2 linked regions of the Anolis sagrei genome follow. The protein of the gene in region 1 interacts with the protein of each later gene in a pairwise test. Links are inferred from orthologs where the notes say so. Each region holds a gene or a part of one and is shown on either strand. Other genes may lie near its edges.

Region 1 (7,373 bases):
GTTCCCCCATCAATCAGCATGACAAGTAGTTTCCTAATAACAATAATAATTTTCCCCACCAATCAGCATGGTATTATTATTAATAACTAGCCGTCCCTGCCACGCGTTGCTGTGGCCCACATGGGGGTTCTGTGTGGAAGGTTTGGCCCATTTCCATCATTTGTGGGGTTCAGAATTCTCTGTGATTGTAGGTGAACTATAAATCCCAGCAACTACAACTCCCAAATGTCAAGATTCTATTTTCCCCAAACTCCACCAGTGTTCACATTTGGGCATATTGAGTATTCGTGTCGAGTTTGGTCCAGATCCATCATTGTTTGAGCCCACAGTGATCTCTGGATGTAGGTGAACTACAACTCCCAAACTCAAGGTCAATGCCAACCAAACCCTTCCAGTATTTTCCGTTGATCATGGGAGAACTGTGTGCCAAGTTTGGTTCAATTCCATCATTGGTGGAGTTCAGAATGCTATTTGATTGTAGGTGAACTATAAATCCCAGCAAACTACAACTCCCAAATGACAAAATCATTTTTTTTTAGTGAAGGACATACATTGGGTTGTTAGGTGTCTTGTGTCCAAATTGGATGTCAATTCGTCCAGTGGTTTTTGAGTTCTGTTAATCTCACAAACAAACATTACATTTTTATTTATATGGATAATTTTATTTTTGCCTACCTCTCCTCCCGACTCAAGTAAGAGGAAGCACTCTTATTACACTGCAGTACCCAGCATCCCCCTTAAGCCTATCATCATCATCATCATCATCATCATCATCATCATCATCATTTCATCATATCTCACTTTTAGGTCTTGAATGAGATACAAAGCAGCATCAATTTCGAGAAGGCCTCTTTTCTTCCACTGCAAGGCCCAGCATCCCCTTGCCAAACAGTCAATGGCACCAGAGCTCCCTTTGGAGGGGGACTACATTTCCCATCAACCACCTCCCAAAGAGATGGGAAGTAGTTTCCCAAGAATCCGGCGAGAGCCCCCTTTCCCATTTCGGTGGGAAATGGGGGATGATGGGAATGGCAGTCCCCCCCTTTCCGGCACTGCAGGGAACATCATCCCCTGGATCCCCAAGGGAAATCCTTCCTATGGAAGTGCTTCTTTTCGAAGGAGACATGGCAAATTCCAGCATCCATTCCCCGCTCCCAAAGTAGCTTCCAGTTCATTTTAGAGGGGGGCTACAACTCCCATCATTGCCTGCCCACCCACACACTGGGATTATGGGAGTTGAAGTCCTCTCCTTTTTGGCACTATAGGGCTCGTCTTCCTCTGGATCCAAAAGAAAAGTTATTCCTTTTGGGGGAAGGACTACAACTCCCAGCATCCATACCCTCCTTCCTCTCTCGCCTAAAAGTAGCTTCTTAGGAGAGTAAGGAGGGAAAGAGGGGGAGATTATGGGCCCTGAAGTGCCAGAAAGGGGAGCACTACAACTCCCATCATCCCAGGCCCACTGATGGAAAGTGGCTTCCCAATAATCGGAGGGGGGCTTTCTGATTATAGGGAAATGGGGGTGATGGGAGTGGCAGTCCTCCCCTTTCTGCTACTAGGAGGCCCATCAGCCTGATGACTTTGAAGTGGGGGTGATGGGAGTGGCAGTCCTCCCCTTTCTGGCACTAGGGGGCCCATCAGCCTGATGACTGGGAAGTGGGGGATGATGGGAGTGGCAGTTCTCCCCTTTCTGTCACTAGGAGGCCCATCAGCCTGATAACTTTGAAGTGGGGGGTGATGGGAGTGGTAGTCCTCCCCTTTCTGGCACTAGGGGTCCCATCAGCCTGATGACTGGGAAGTGGGGGGTGATGGGAGTGGCACTAGGAGGCCCATCAGCCTGATGACTGGAAAGTGGGGGGTGATGGGAGTGGTAGTCTTTCCCTTTCTGGCACTAGGAGGCCCATCAGCTTGATTACTTTGATGTGGGGGGTAATGGGAGTGGCAGTCCTCCCCTTTCTGCTACTAGGAGGCCCATCAGCCTGATGACTTTGAAGTGGGGGTGATGGGAGTGGTAGTCTTCCAATTTCTGGTACTAGGAGGCCCATCAGCCTGATGACTGGGAAGTGGGGGTGATGGGAGTGGTAGTCTTCCCCTTTCTGGTACTAGGAAGCCCATCAGCCTGATGAGTGGGAAGTGGAGGTGATGGGAGTGGTAGTCTTCCCCTTTCTGGCACTAGGGGGCCCATCAGCCTGATGACTTTGAAGTGGGGATGATGGGAGTGGCAGTCCTCCCCTTTCTGGCACTAGGAGGCCCATCAGCCTGATGACTGGGAAGTGGGGGATGATGGGAGTGGTAGTCCTCCCCTTTCTGGCACTAGGAGGCCCATCAGCCTGATGACTGGGAAGTGGGGGTTGATGGGAGTGGCAGTCCTCCCCTTTCTGGCACTAGGAGGCCCATCAGCCTGTTGACTGGGAAGTGGGAGATGATGGGAGTGGCAGTCCTCCTCTTTCTGGCACTAGGAGACCCATCAGCTTGATGACTGGGAAGTGGGAGTGATGGGAGTGGCAGTCCTCCCCTTTCTGACACTAGGAGGCCCATCAGCCTGATGACTGGGAAGTGGGAGTGATGGGAGTGGCAGTCCTCCCCTTTCTAGCACTAGGAGGCCTATCAGCCTGATGACTTTGAAGTGGGGGATGATGGGAGTGGTAGTCCTCCCCTTTCTAGCACTAGGAGGCCCATCAGCCTGATGACTGGGAAGTGGGGGGTGATGGGAGTGGCAGTCCTCCCCTTTCTGGCACTAGTAGGGGGAGGACTTGGGCTGCGGCACCCACCTTCTCGTTGAGGAGCACGGCGAGGACGATGTAGGTGGTGTTCCTGCGGAGGCGGGCCTTCTCGGGGGGCTCCAGCGGGGCCGAGTCGTACCCGCCGCCCTCCGAGGACAAGGGCCAGCCCTGCCCGCCCAGCACCGCCCCCACCTCCGCCACGGCGCCCGCCCCGCCCCCGGCCATCGACCCCGCCCCGGCCTTCCGCATTTGGCAGCCCTCTGCACGCGCCCCGGAGCCCTCTCGCGCGGGGAGGCGGCGCCCGCGAAGGCCCTGGGCCCCAGGCAGGCCACGCCCACCGCACGCCAAGGGAGAAGGCCACCGAGGGGAGGGAACAAAGCGGGCGTCGCTCTTCATTGGACAAAGCGCATTGCGCTTTGTCCAATGAAGAGCGACGGCCGCTTTGTTCCCTCCCCTCGGTGGCCTTCTCCACTGGCGTCCGGTGGGCGTGGCCTGCCTGGGGCCCGCTATTCGTTACTCATTGGCTCGACGCAAAGCGCTCCTCGCTTCTCATTGGACGGAGCGCTCTTCTCCTCCCCATTGGGTAAAGAGTCGAACCCTCCTCGCTTCCCCATTGGCTGGACGTAAAACGCTTCCCGCTTCTCATTGGACGAAACGCTCATCTCGTACCCATTGGGGTAACAGCTCAGCGGTATTCACTCCTCATTGAACAAAGTGGTAATCGCTTCCCAGTTGGGTGAAGAGATTAAAAGATGGGCTCAAAGCCAACCTTAAAATCTCTGGCATAGACACTGAGAACTGGGAAGCCCTGGCCCTTGAGCGCTCCAGCTGGAGGTCAGCTGTGATCAGCAGTGCTGCAGAATTTGAAGAGGCATGAATGGAGGGTGAAAGAGAGAAACGTGCCAAGAGGAAGGCGTGTCAAGCCAACCCCGACCAGGACTGCATTCCATCTGGAAACCAATGCCCTCACTGCAGGAGAACATGCAGATCAAGAACAGGGCTCCACAGCCACCAACGGATCCACAAGAATACTGGTCATGGATGGAAGACTAGCCTACTCGTCCAACGAGGGATCGCCTAAGGGTGAAGAGTCAAGTGCTCCTCATCTCCCCATTGGCTGGGCCAACTTGGGCCCTCCAGGTGTTTTGGGTTTCAACTCCCACCATTCCTTTTTTTTATATAGAGATAATAATTTTTATTGATTTATCACAATTACTACATTTGATATACAATTGTTATTACTGTTACATTTTGTACAACACACTCTTTAACATGTTATTTTATTGTTTTGCTCAAACATTTCCCCCCTTTATTTCCACCACAGTGCTCCCACCATTCCTAACCGCCTACCTGGTGGAGGGCCCATGTTGGCCCAGGCCTGGGCTAGACTGAAAGCGCTCCTCGCTTCTCATTGGACAAAGACCTCCTAGTTTCCCCATTGGCTGACCAACAAGGTGCTGTTCTGGGTTACTGTGATTATAAGAACTGGATTTTATGAGGCCACTTCTACACTTCTACATAGACATTCCAGATAATCTGCTTTGAACTAGATTATATGGCAGTGTAGATTTGATGGGGAGATATTAGAAATATAGATATTTGTTTATGTATAAATTGTGTACTTTACAAGCACTGAAATGTATCAAGTTCTCTCTGTATCAGAAATTCAAGCTGACAGGACAAGCAAGCTGCGTCCAGGCACAGCAAGAGGGAGGTGAACATTAAAGGGTGGGGGGAGAGATAAGCCCATCCTAGTGGCACCGAGCCCAGGCTATAGCTAAGTAAGGAGCCTATCTCTTCCTCATGACAGGTCAAAGTAGGCCCCTTGATTGATGGATGTAGGCTGTATGCTGCTCTTTAGAAAGAAATACAGAGACATGCCTTTTGTATGTTGGAAGATAGAATTTGATATTTCTGTGATGCTAAAGTGATGCAGAGAATTATTATTTTTTTGTCGTGTCAGGGAGCGACCTTAGAAACTGCAAGTTGCTTCTGGTGTGAGAGAATTGGCCGTCTGCAAGGACGTTGCCCAGGGGATGCCCGGATGATTTGATGTTTTATCATCCTTGTGGGAGGCTTCTCTCATGTCCCCACATGAGGAGCTGATAGAGGGAGCTCATCCACCTCTCTCTGGATTCGAACCTGCGACCTGTTGGTCTTCAGTCCTGCCAGCATAGGGGTTTAACCCACTGCGCCACCGGGGGCTCCTGCAGAGAATGATGTCAGTGTATGTAGATGCATGTTTGCCTGCATTTGAAGTGTACAAAAAGGCAGTCAACGCCTTTATCAGGCACTCTTAAGTGTTTTTGGACACAGCTCCACTCCAGAGTCCCAGCTGGAAATAAACCCGTGCTTTTCCAGACGTCAGGAACTCTCTTTGTCTCTTTTCCTAAAACCTTCTGATTTTATATTATTTTAATTGTTTTTATTGTATTCTTATGCTTTGATGTTAACTGTAAACCGCCCTGAGTCATCTGCGGGCTGAGAGGGGCGGTATATAAATGTAGCAAATAAATAAATAAATAAATATAATCCAGTTCAAAGCAGATAATGTGGATTATCTGCTTTGATCATCTGGATTATATGGCAGTTTAGAGGGGGCCAAAGCGATGTCAAACTACATTAATTCTGCAGTGTAAATGCACCCCAAATTACAGCTTTTCCTATAGTTGCCAGAGCAGACCTTGGGAGTTAAAGGTAAATGTAAACGAGTGGTACCTATTGATCTACTCACATTTGCCTGTTTTCAAACTGCTAGGTTGGCAGAAGCTGGGGCTAACAGTGGGAGCTCACCCTGCTCCCCAGATTTAAACCTTACGGTCAGCAAGTTCAGCAGCTCAGCGGTTTAACCCACTGTGCCACCAGGGGCTCCTCAATTGGGAAAGTAGATGGTGTATAATAAATCAAACCACATTGAAATAAAATTTGAGAACACCGCTTGTCCAGCCTTTATTTGAAGTCTAATAGAACAAATATGTGAGGAACTGGGGTATATAAAAATACAGAATCATAGCTGCTGCAAGGACATTGATTTGAAACCCTTTATCTGCCTTATCCGTAAAGCATGACTTAGGAAAACAGCCGAATTTGGATCACTCTTCAGTGGTACCATCGCTCCCTTGTGTGTCTAATTCAAGTTTGTTCAGAACCATTGGAAGCAGTATCAACCACTTTCCCCGCCATTGGGCTCTATGGTTCCTCGATGGGACTCTGGGAATGAAGCTGACCCAAGCTACTCTTCCTGCTTTGAGTAGAGGGCCCTCACCCGTTCCACGATCTCTGTGGCTTCCTTTATGGCTTTGGCATGGAGACCATTGTTGGCTGCCAAGTGATCAAAAAGATTGAGGGGCTCAGCACTCCGGAGGACTTGTGGCATCGGGATCTGGATCGGCAACGAGATGTTCCCGATGAGGAAGTGCTCGAGATATTTCTCCCGCACTGCCGTGTGCAAGAACAAGAGGATGTCTTGGAGCCTCGTTGCCAGGTTCTCAGGGTTCCAGTCGGAGACCGGCCGCAGGAGCAAGAGGTGCATCAAGCAAGTCTTGTAATGGTAGTCAGTGAGGACAGGGTTCTTACCGGACGGACTACCAGAACCCTTGAGATACATCAGGATCTGGAGACACTTCAAGTGACAGCTCCATTCGGGTGCCCGTTGGCCAAACCATTCAAAGAAGAGCAGTTCCTGAACAGCGAAGGTCTTCAGCCAAATGGTGCCCTTGGTAGGGTTGGCGTCTCCACAGTGGGTGACTAGGAAGACCAAGGAGTCTCCTTGCTGGACACCGAGGGTGATGTCCACCAGAACAGAACGCCCAGAGTGGAAGGCCAGCTTCAACCGGCATGTTGTGGCCGACGGCATGAGCGTGAGGTCGAGGGTGTACCTCTCACGGAGGTTCCTCCAAGCCTTGACCACCAAATTCTGGTACCAGCGGATGGTCTTCCCCACATCCAAGTGGGAACTGGTGCACAAAATGTGGAGGAGGAATGCGCCTTCTTCACTCAGATCCCGGTCTGGGTGGTGGAGGAAGCACACCACGTCACCCAGGAGCCGCTGCCTCTTGCAAACGCAGTCCATCTCCACCAAAATGTGGCCATGTTTGCTGGGTCCACCCTCAGCATCACTGCTTTCAATTTGGAAGGAATGGCCTTTGGGCGGCAGGAGGGGCACCAGGACAGTGAAGGGTTTCGACAGCCGTTGTATGTGCCACCCTTCAAAGGCGCTGCCCACTCCGATGCAGTTCTCCATTAGAGGAAGGGTGTTCTGGTATGGAAGGGTTTTCCGACCTTCATCCAACAAATCGTTGACGAAGGTCTCCACAAAATCGCACACGTTCTTCAAGTCGCCGTTTTCCAGTCCAATATAGCAGTCATAGAAGGCCTCCAGCTTCTTCTGGTTGGGTTTGCCAACTTCCGGCTCCATGTCCGTGTCGTCGTCGTATTCATCTGTGGTGGACGTGCTGGAGCCATCCGTGCTGGAATCGTAATGGGTGTCCTTTTCCATCGTGTGCCTGCAGCAGCCAAAGACAACAAGGATGATGAGGCCCACGTAAGGCCAACCATCCCAGGTCCCGTCTTCCACCGGCAGGTCAGGCTTCACAAATTTCTCCTGCTTCTGCTTCGGGACCCAGCTCCAGGCCTTCTGCTCAAATTCCACTT
Region 2 (7,212 bases), on another chromosome or scaffold:
CATTAATTTCATAGGTTTGTTTTTTTTTTTTTACATAGAGTTGGCTGTATTGGATCCTTCCTCTGTACCTGGCATTATTTGCAGTCTATATTTCATCAGAATGTTTGTGTGTGTGTGAAGGGGACTGGTACAGCTTTAAATCATAACTCCTTGATTCTCAACATCCCCATTAGCATGGTCACTGGCCATCTTGGCTAAGGGATTTTGGGATGTGTGCTTCAAAACAGTATCTTCTCCAAACTTGGGGAAGACATGGGGAAAAAATTATTAATTTTTTTCTTGTAGGAACTCAAAAAGATTACAGACAACATCAAAACCGTTATAGCCTCATGGCTTTGTAGAGCCTGTTACTTTGTATCATCAGAATTTTCCACCATCCAGTTCTGCAAGTCACCTTATGACAAGTCCATAGGGTTTTCCTTAGGCAAGGAATCCCCAGAGGTGGTTTAACAGTCCCTTCCTTTGAAATATAGCCTTCAGAACCTGGCATTTGTTGGTGGGCTCCCAGCCAAGTCCTTACTAGGGCTGATCCTACTTAGCTTCCAACATCTGAGCTTAATAAAGACAGTTCATGTAATTTGCTTGGATATATTGTAAGACTAAACCCTATCAGGAAATTGAGCCTGCAAAGAAATTTCATGTAACAACACCTTGGCAAACCCGAATTATAGAATCATTCTGTTAAGGTTTAGATAGGTTCGGTCTACTTTCTGAAATCAGCCTGGGAAAGAGCACATCTAGATGGCTGAGGTCTTGAACAGGCTTGGTCTTCCAGGTGTTTTGGACATCAGTTCCCAGAATTCCTTTGCATCCACTGAGTCATCAGAAAGCAGAGATGTCACTGTGTTGTCAAAGGCTTTCATAGCCAGAATCACTGGGTTGCTGTGAGTTTTTGGGCTGTATGGCCATGTTACAGTAGTATTCTCTCCTGACATTTCACCTGCATCTATGGCAGGCATCCTTCTGTTTCTGAGAGGTGTCCCTTTCTTACTGCCTTGATTCTGATGTTTTTAAATACCCGTAATCAGTTTTAAGGTAAAGGTTTTCCCCTGACATGAAGTCCAGTCGTGTCCAACTCTGGGGTGTGGTGCTCATCTCTATTTCTAAGCCGAAGAGCCAACGTTGTCCATAGACACCTCCAAGGTCATGTGACCTGAATGACTGCATGGAGTGCCTTTACCTTCCCACCAGAGCAGTACCTATTGATCTACTCACATTTGCATGTTTTCGAACTGCTAGGTTGGCAGAAGCTGGGGCTGACAGCGGAAGCTCACGCTGCTCCCCGGATTTGAACCAGCGACCTTTCGGTCAACAAGCTCAGCAGCTCAGCACTTTAATCTACTGTGCCACCAGGGTCCAACCGGTATTACCAATCTGGAATTCCAGACAGCCAACAATCAAGTGTCAGTTAACACCTCCAAAGCAAAGGATGTCCCCAGGCAGCAACAGCCAGACTTTGCAGCTGCAAAGCTACTCACCAGCTAATCAAGGTGGCCAATTGCAAAATTCACACTTGCATCAAACAGACAAGAGTTCTTTCTCCCACCCTGGACATTCTACACACACCCCACTTGCCTCATTCCCACAGACCTTCGAACAAATCTCTGAGGATGCTTGCCACAGATACAGGTGAAATGTCAGGAGAGAATGCTACTGGAGCATGGCCATACAGCCTGAAACACTCACAGCATTCCAGAGGTGTCGCTATTTCAGGCTGTTTCAAAATGATGTTTAAGGGTCCTTCCACACAGCCATTTAACCCAGAATATCAAGGCAGAGAATTCACAATATCTGCTTTGATGTAGATTATCTGAGTCCACATGGCCATATAACCCAGTTCAATGTGGCTTTTATAGAGCTGTGTGGAAAGGGCCGAAGAAAAGTGGTTTCACTGGGCAGGTGATCACCTGGAACCAGTTTGAGATTCAGACGCTATTTACACAAACCACTGATGTACATTAGAATCATAGAATTGGAAGAGACCTCATGGGCCATCCAGTCCAAGCCCATTCAGCCAAGAATCTGGAGAATTGCATTCAAAGCACCCCCCTTTTTTTTTTGGTCATGTCAGGAGCAACCTGAGAAACTGCAAGTCGCTTCTGGTGTGAGAGAATTGGCCGTCAGCAAGGACGTTGCCCAGGGGGCGCCCGGATGATTTTTAATGTATTATGATCCTTGTGGGAGGCTTCTTTCACATCCTCGCATGAGGAGCTGGAGCTGGTAGAGGGAGCTCATCCGCCTCTCCCCGGATTCGAACCTGCGAACTATTGTCTTCAGTCCTGCTGGCACAGGGGTTTAACCCACTGTGCCACCGAGGGCACCCTCTACCTGTCTGCACCCCTGTCAGATAGCCATCCAGCCTCTGTTTAAAAGCTACCAAAGAAGGAGCCTCCATCACTCTGCCGCAGAGAGTTCCACTGCTGAACAGCTCTCACAGTCAGGAAGTTCTTCCTAATGTTCAGATGGAATCTCCTTTCTTGTAGTTTGAAGCCATTAAGATCTTTCTTTTATGCACTTTTGTGGGTGTTTGTTGCCTAAAGGCCACACTCTGAAACTAACTTTGAACTGCGTTAAATAGACAGTGCAGACAGGGTCTCAGCCATCCATTTTGGATTTTGCAGCATCTTAGGTTTAGGAAACCTGGGGAAAGTATACTCACCAAAGCAGAGGAGGCTTCTGGGAGCTGGAGTCCCAAACACCTGGAGGACTCAGCATGTGGCCTCCAACTCCCAGAAGCCCTAGCCAGCTTGCCCAATAGTCAGGAATTCTAGGGGTTAAAAGACTCCTTTGTTGTGGGGCATTCAGGAGGCCTTCTTTGGGGGGAGGACAAGAAGGCACTCACTCACCTGTAGGGCGGATGGGAGCCATGGCTGCTGCAGCAGGAGCCCGAGGCGCCTAGGAGTCAAAGGCAAAGAGAAGTTAGCACAAGAGGAAGAAGGAGAAGAGGAAGGAGGAGGAGAAGGAGGAAAAGTTTGCTCGCGAGAGCCGTCCGCGGAGGAGCAAGTCCGAGGAGGAGAGAGAGGGCGCGCGCTGGCGGGGCGGCGTAAGAAGGGCGGGCGGCGGAAGGGGGCGGCCAATGAGGGGCGGGGAGCGCGCCCCGAACGCGCCAATGGCAGCCCCGCAAACAGGGCTTGCGCCACAGAATACACACACTCAATGGCGCGCGCACACGCCCCCTCGCAGCCCAATTTCCCCCAAGCATTCCCTCCAATCTGAGGCCAGTTCTGGCGGACACCCCTCGCCCGCCTCTTTCCCGCCCCAAAGCCCCGCGGGCCATGGCGAAGTTGCACTCTCAACAACTCCCGCTTCTATTCCAGCGCCCCCAAGTCCTCGCAAACTTCACCCTTTCTCCCTCTTCCTTACCCCCTCCCTTTCTTCTCTCCTTCCCTTTCACCCCTCCTTCTCTCTCTTTCCCCTCCCTATTTTTCCTCCGACTTTCCCCACTCCTTCCCTCCTTTTCCCTTTTTACTTTCCCTCCCTCCTTTTTTGTCTTTCCCCCCTCTTTCCCCTTCTCCTTCGCTCCTTTACCTTCTTCCTTTTCTGTCTTTTCCCTCTCCTTCCCTCCTCCCTTTTCCTCATCCCCTTTCTCTCTTTCCCTCCCTCCTTCTCTTTCCCCTTTCTTCTTTCCTTCCTTTTCCTCTCTTCCCTTCCCTTCATTTTCCTTGTCTTCTTTCACTCCCTTCTGCCTTTAACTCTTCTTTCCCCCTCTCCTTCCTTTCTTCTCCCTCATTCTCTTTTCCCTTCCCTCCTCTTCCCCTCTCTTCTTCCCCTCTTTCTGTCTTCCCTTCCCTTCATTTTCCCTGTCTTCTGTCTCTCCCTTCTGCCTTTAATTCTTCTTTCCCCCTCTTTACTTCCTTCTCCCTCAATCTCTCTTCCCTTCCCTCCTCTTTCCCTGTCTTTTCCTTCTCTTTCCCCCTCTACTTCCTCTCTTTTCCTCCTTTTCCTTTCTCTCCCCCTTTCTCTCCCTTCTTTCCCTCCTTCCTTGTGTCTTTCCACATCTTTCTCCTTCGCTCCTTTCCCTTTCTTCTTTCCCTTCTTCCTTTTCTGTCTTTTTCCTCTCCTTCCCTCCTCCCTTTTCCTCTTCCCCTTTTCTCTCTTCCCCTCCTTCCTTGTGTCTTTCTTCCCCTTTCACCCTCTCCTTCGCTCCTCTCTCTTTCCCTTCTTTCCCTCTCTTCTTTCCCACTTTCTCGCTTCCCTTCCCTTCATTTTCCTGTCTCCTTTTCCTCCCTTCTGCCTTTAATTCTTCTTTCCCCCTCTCTTTCCCTCCTTTTCCTTTCTTTCCCCCTTTCTCTCCTTTCTTTCCCTCCTTGTGTCTTTCCTCATCTTTCACCTTCTCCTTTGCCCATATTTCCTCTCTTCTTTCCTCTCCTTTCTCTCTTCCCTTCTCTTTATTTTCCCAGTCTTCTTTTCCTCCTCTTTCCCCCTTTTTCTTTCTTCCCCTCCCTGCTCTTTCTCTCATTTTCCCTGTCATCTTTCCTCTCGTTCTCTTTCCCCCTTTCCTCCCTCTTTTTCTCTCCTTTTCCTTTCTTTCCCCCTTTCTCTCTCTTCCCTTCTCCCTTTCTCTTGCTTATTTCCTCCCTCCTTCTGTCTTAGCCCTCATTCCCTCTCCTTCCCTCCCTCCCCTCTTTCCCCGTTTCCTTTCTTCTTTCCTCCTCTTTCCCCTCTCCTTCCTTCTTTCATGTCTTCTCCTCCCTCATTCCCCCTCCTTCCCTCTCCCTATTTCCTTTCTTCTTTCCCCTCTCCTTCCTTCCTTCTTTTACCGTCCCTTCCCTCCCTCCTCTCTCTTTCCCCCTCCCTCTATTTCTCTCTTTTTCCAGGAAGGATTCCCTCAGGAAGCAAAAGTAAACAACTCTTCTTTCTTATCCCCAATCAAAGTCAGAGAGGGAAAATCAAGTTTCAGCTCGGAAAAGCAGGAAATACCAAGGGAACCCTAAAAGAGGGGAGGCGGGGACTGGGGAGGGGCGACTTCCTCACAGGAGGGGGGGGGGCTAACTTTTTTGTTGCCATGAGACCAAATCACACATACACACGAGGGAGGTGATGGAGTCCTAAAGCAGAAAAAAGGGGCAGGACTCTCAACTTAGGAGCAGCCGCGAGACTAGTGCGCGCCCTCTCTCTATGCAAATCAGGCCTGTATGCAAATGAGGCGCCGAGGGGCGGGAAAAAAGGAGCAGGCTCGGTCCTCGCCCACAAGCCCAAGCGGCCACAAGCGCCGCGCCAGGAGCGACAACAACAGGGGCGGCCGCGACACGTGTGCGACGCACCATGGAGTTTGAGGAGCTGGGCATCGGGGAGGAGTGCGGGGTCTTCGGATGCCTCGCCGCCGGGGTCTGGCCCACCGAGCTGGACGTGCCGCATGTGATCACGCTGGGGCTGGTGGGGCTGCAGCACAGGTAAGGGAAGGGGCTTTGGGGGGCCACACATAAGGGGGCTCTGCAGGGAAAGGTCTGATCTCCAGTGCTGGAGCCTTGGAGGCAACCAGTTGTGGCTGTGAGTCTTCCTAAAGCTTGCATCTACAGCCAGGCATGGGCAAACTTCGGCCCTCCTCCAGGTGTTTTGGACTTCAACTCCCACAATTCCTAACAGCCGGTAGGCTGTTAGGAATTGTGGGAGTTGAAGTCCAAAACACCTGGAGGAGGGCCGAAGTTTGCCCATGCCTGGCTGTAGATGCATCTTGATTCTTCTCATTGTCCCACAGTATTGAGCATTAGCAGTTACACTACTTTTTGCTAGTGTTTTGCCACTGTTTTTGCCCTCATACTTACTGAGGGCCCTTCCACACAGCCCTAAATCCCAGAATATAAAGGCAGGAAATCCCACATTATCTGATAACCCAGTTCAAAGCAGATATTGTGGGATTTCCTGCCTTGATATTCAGGGATATAGGGCTTTGTGGAAGGGCCCTGGTTGATAAATCTGATGTCTTGCAGGTAAATTTGCTCCGAACACCCCAACTTTTCCACATGTTTTATTACACAGGGCCTTCACCGATTCCGGTCAAAGTTTGTGTTTTCACCAAACAGTGATTGCATTGAATTTGCTCAGCATCGAAGGCCCCTTCCACACAGCTGTGTAAAATCCCACATTATCTGCTTTGAAATGAGTTATATGGCATTGTGGACCCAGATATTTATTTATTTATGTATTTAAAGCATTTATATTCCGCCCTTCTCAGGGCAGAGCACAGCACATACACGGCAAACATTCAATGCCGGGACACAAATTCACATACAATACATAAACATAAAAAAATACATTAAAATACATCATTTAAAACTGTCCTAGCCATCCGCATCAAATCCAATTGGCCCTGTTATCTTTTCCACTGCCGCTTCATTGCCCTGTCCTGAAAGCTTGGTCCCACAGTCAAGTTTTTACCATCCTTCTAAAGGACAGGAGGATGGGGGTGACCCTCCATAGCAGGGGAGCAATCACCAAGAAGACCCTGTTTCTCGTCCCCACCAATTGTGCCTGTGACAGTGGCGGGACAGAAAGCAGGGCCTCCTCAGAAGATCTTAATCTCCATGATGGTTCATAGGGGAAGATGTGTTCGGACAGGTAATTTGGGCCGGGGCCGTTTAGGGCTTTATAGGCCAAAGCCAGCACTATGAATTGTGCCCGGTAGCAAACTGGCAGCCAGTGGAGGTGGCATAACATGCGAGTTGTGTGCTCCCTGTATGCCACCCTAGTTATTAACCTGGCTGCCTCTTCTTGGACTATTTGAAGCTTCCAAGCAGTCTTCAAAGGCAACCCCACATAGACTGCATTGCAGTAGTCTATCCTAGAGGTAATGAGAGCGTGGACCACCGTGGCCAAGTCTGACTTCCCAAGGTACGGGCGCAGCTGGCGCACAAGATAACTCGGGGCTCTTCCACACAGCTATATAACCAAGGCAGAATAACCCACAATATCTGCTTTGAACTTGAATATCTGAGGGCACTTCCACACAGCCCTGTATCCCAGAATATCAAGGCAGAAATAATAATATAAGGAGACCCCGGTGGCGCATTGGGTTAAACCACTGAACTGCTAAGCTTGTTGACTGAAAGGTCGCAGGTTCAAATCCGGGGAGCGGTGTGAGCTTCCGCTGTCAGCCCCAGCTTCTGCCAACCTAGCAGTTCGAAAACATGCAAATGTGAGTAGATCAATAGGTACTGCTCTGGCAGGAAGGTAACGGTGCTCCATGTAGTCATGCTGGCCACATGACCTTGG

The links. The genes of interacting proteins can lie anywhere in the genome.
Region 2: the proteins of NUDT18 (region 1) and multifunctional protein ADE2 interact in binary tests that used the Homo sapiens proteins (3 or more experiments, as listed by UniProt). The two-hybrid records come from large-scale screens. The link is inferred for Anolis sagrei from reciprocal best matches to the Homo sapiens genes NUDT18 and PAICS.

Annotation. Positions count from the first base shown.
Region 1 is NC_090027.1:21,780,901-21,788,273, forward strand, and holds the start of NUDT18 (8-oxo-dGDP phosphatase NUDT18), read right to left. Parts: upstream 3,077-7,373; 5' UTR 2,970-3,076; coding exon 2,769-2,969; intron 1-2,768. Other genes in the region: ITPRIPL1 (inositol 1,4,5-trisphosphate receptor-interacting protein-like 1), read right to left, coding at 5,953-7,373. UniProt on the Homo sapiens protein: Mediates the hydrolysis of oxidized nucleoside diphosphate derivatives. Hydrolyzes 8-oxo-7,8-dihydroguanine (8-oxo-Gua)-containing deoxyribo- and ribonucleoside diphosphates to the monophosphates. Hydrolyzes 8-oxo-dGDP and 8-oxo-GDP with the same efficiencies.
Region 2 is NC_090025.1:73,077,337-73,084,548, forward strand, and holds the start of multifunctional protein ADE2, read right to left. Parts: upstream 3,037-7,212; 5' UTR 2,869-3,036; coding exon 2,847-2,868; intron 1-2,846. Other genes in the region: PPAT (amidophosphoribosyltransferase), read left to right, coding at 5,266-5,393. UniProt on the Homo sapiens protein: Bifunctional phosphoribosylaminoimidazole carboxylase and phosphoribosylaminoimidazole succinocarboxamide synthetase catalyzing two reactions of the de novo purine biosynthetic pathway.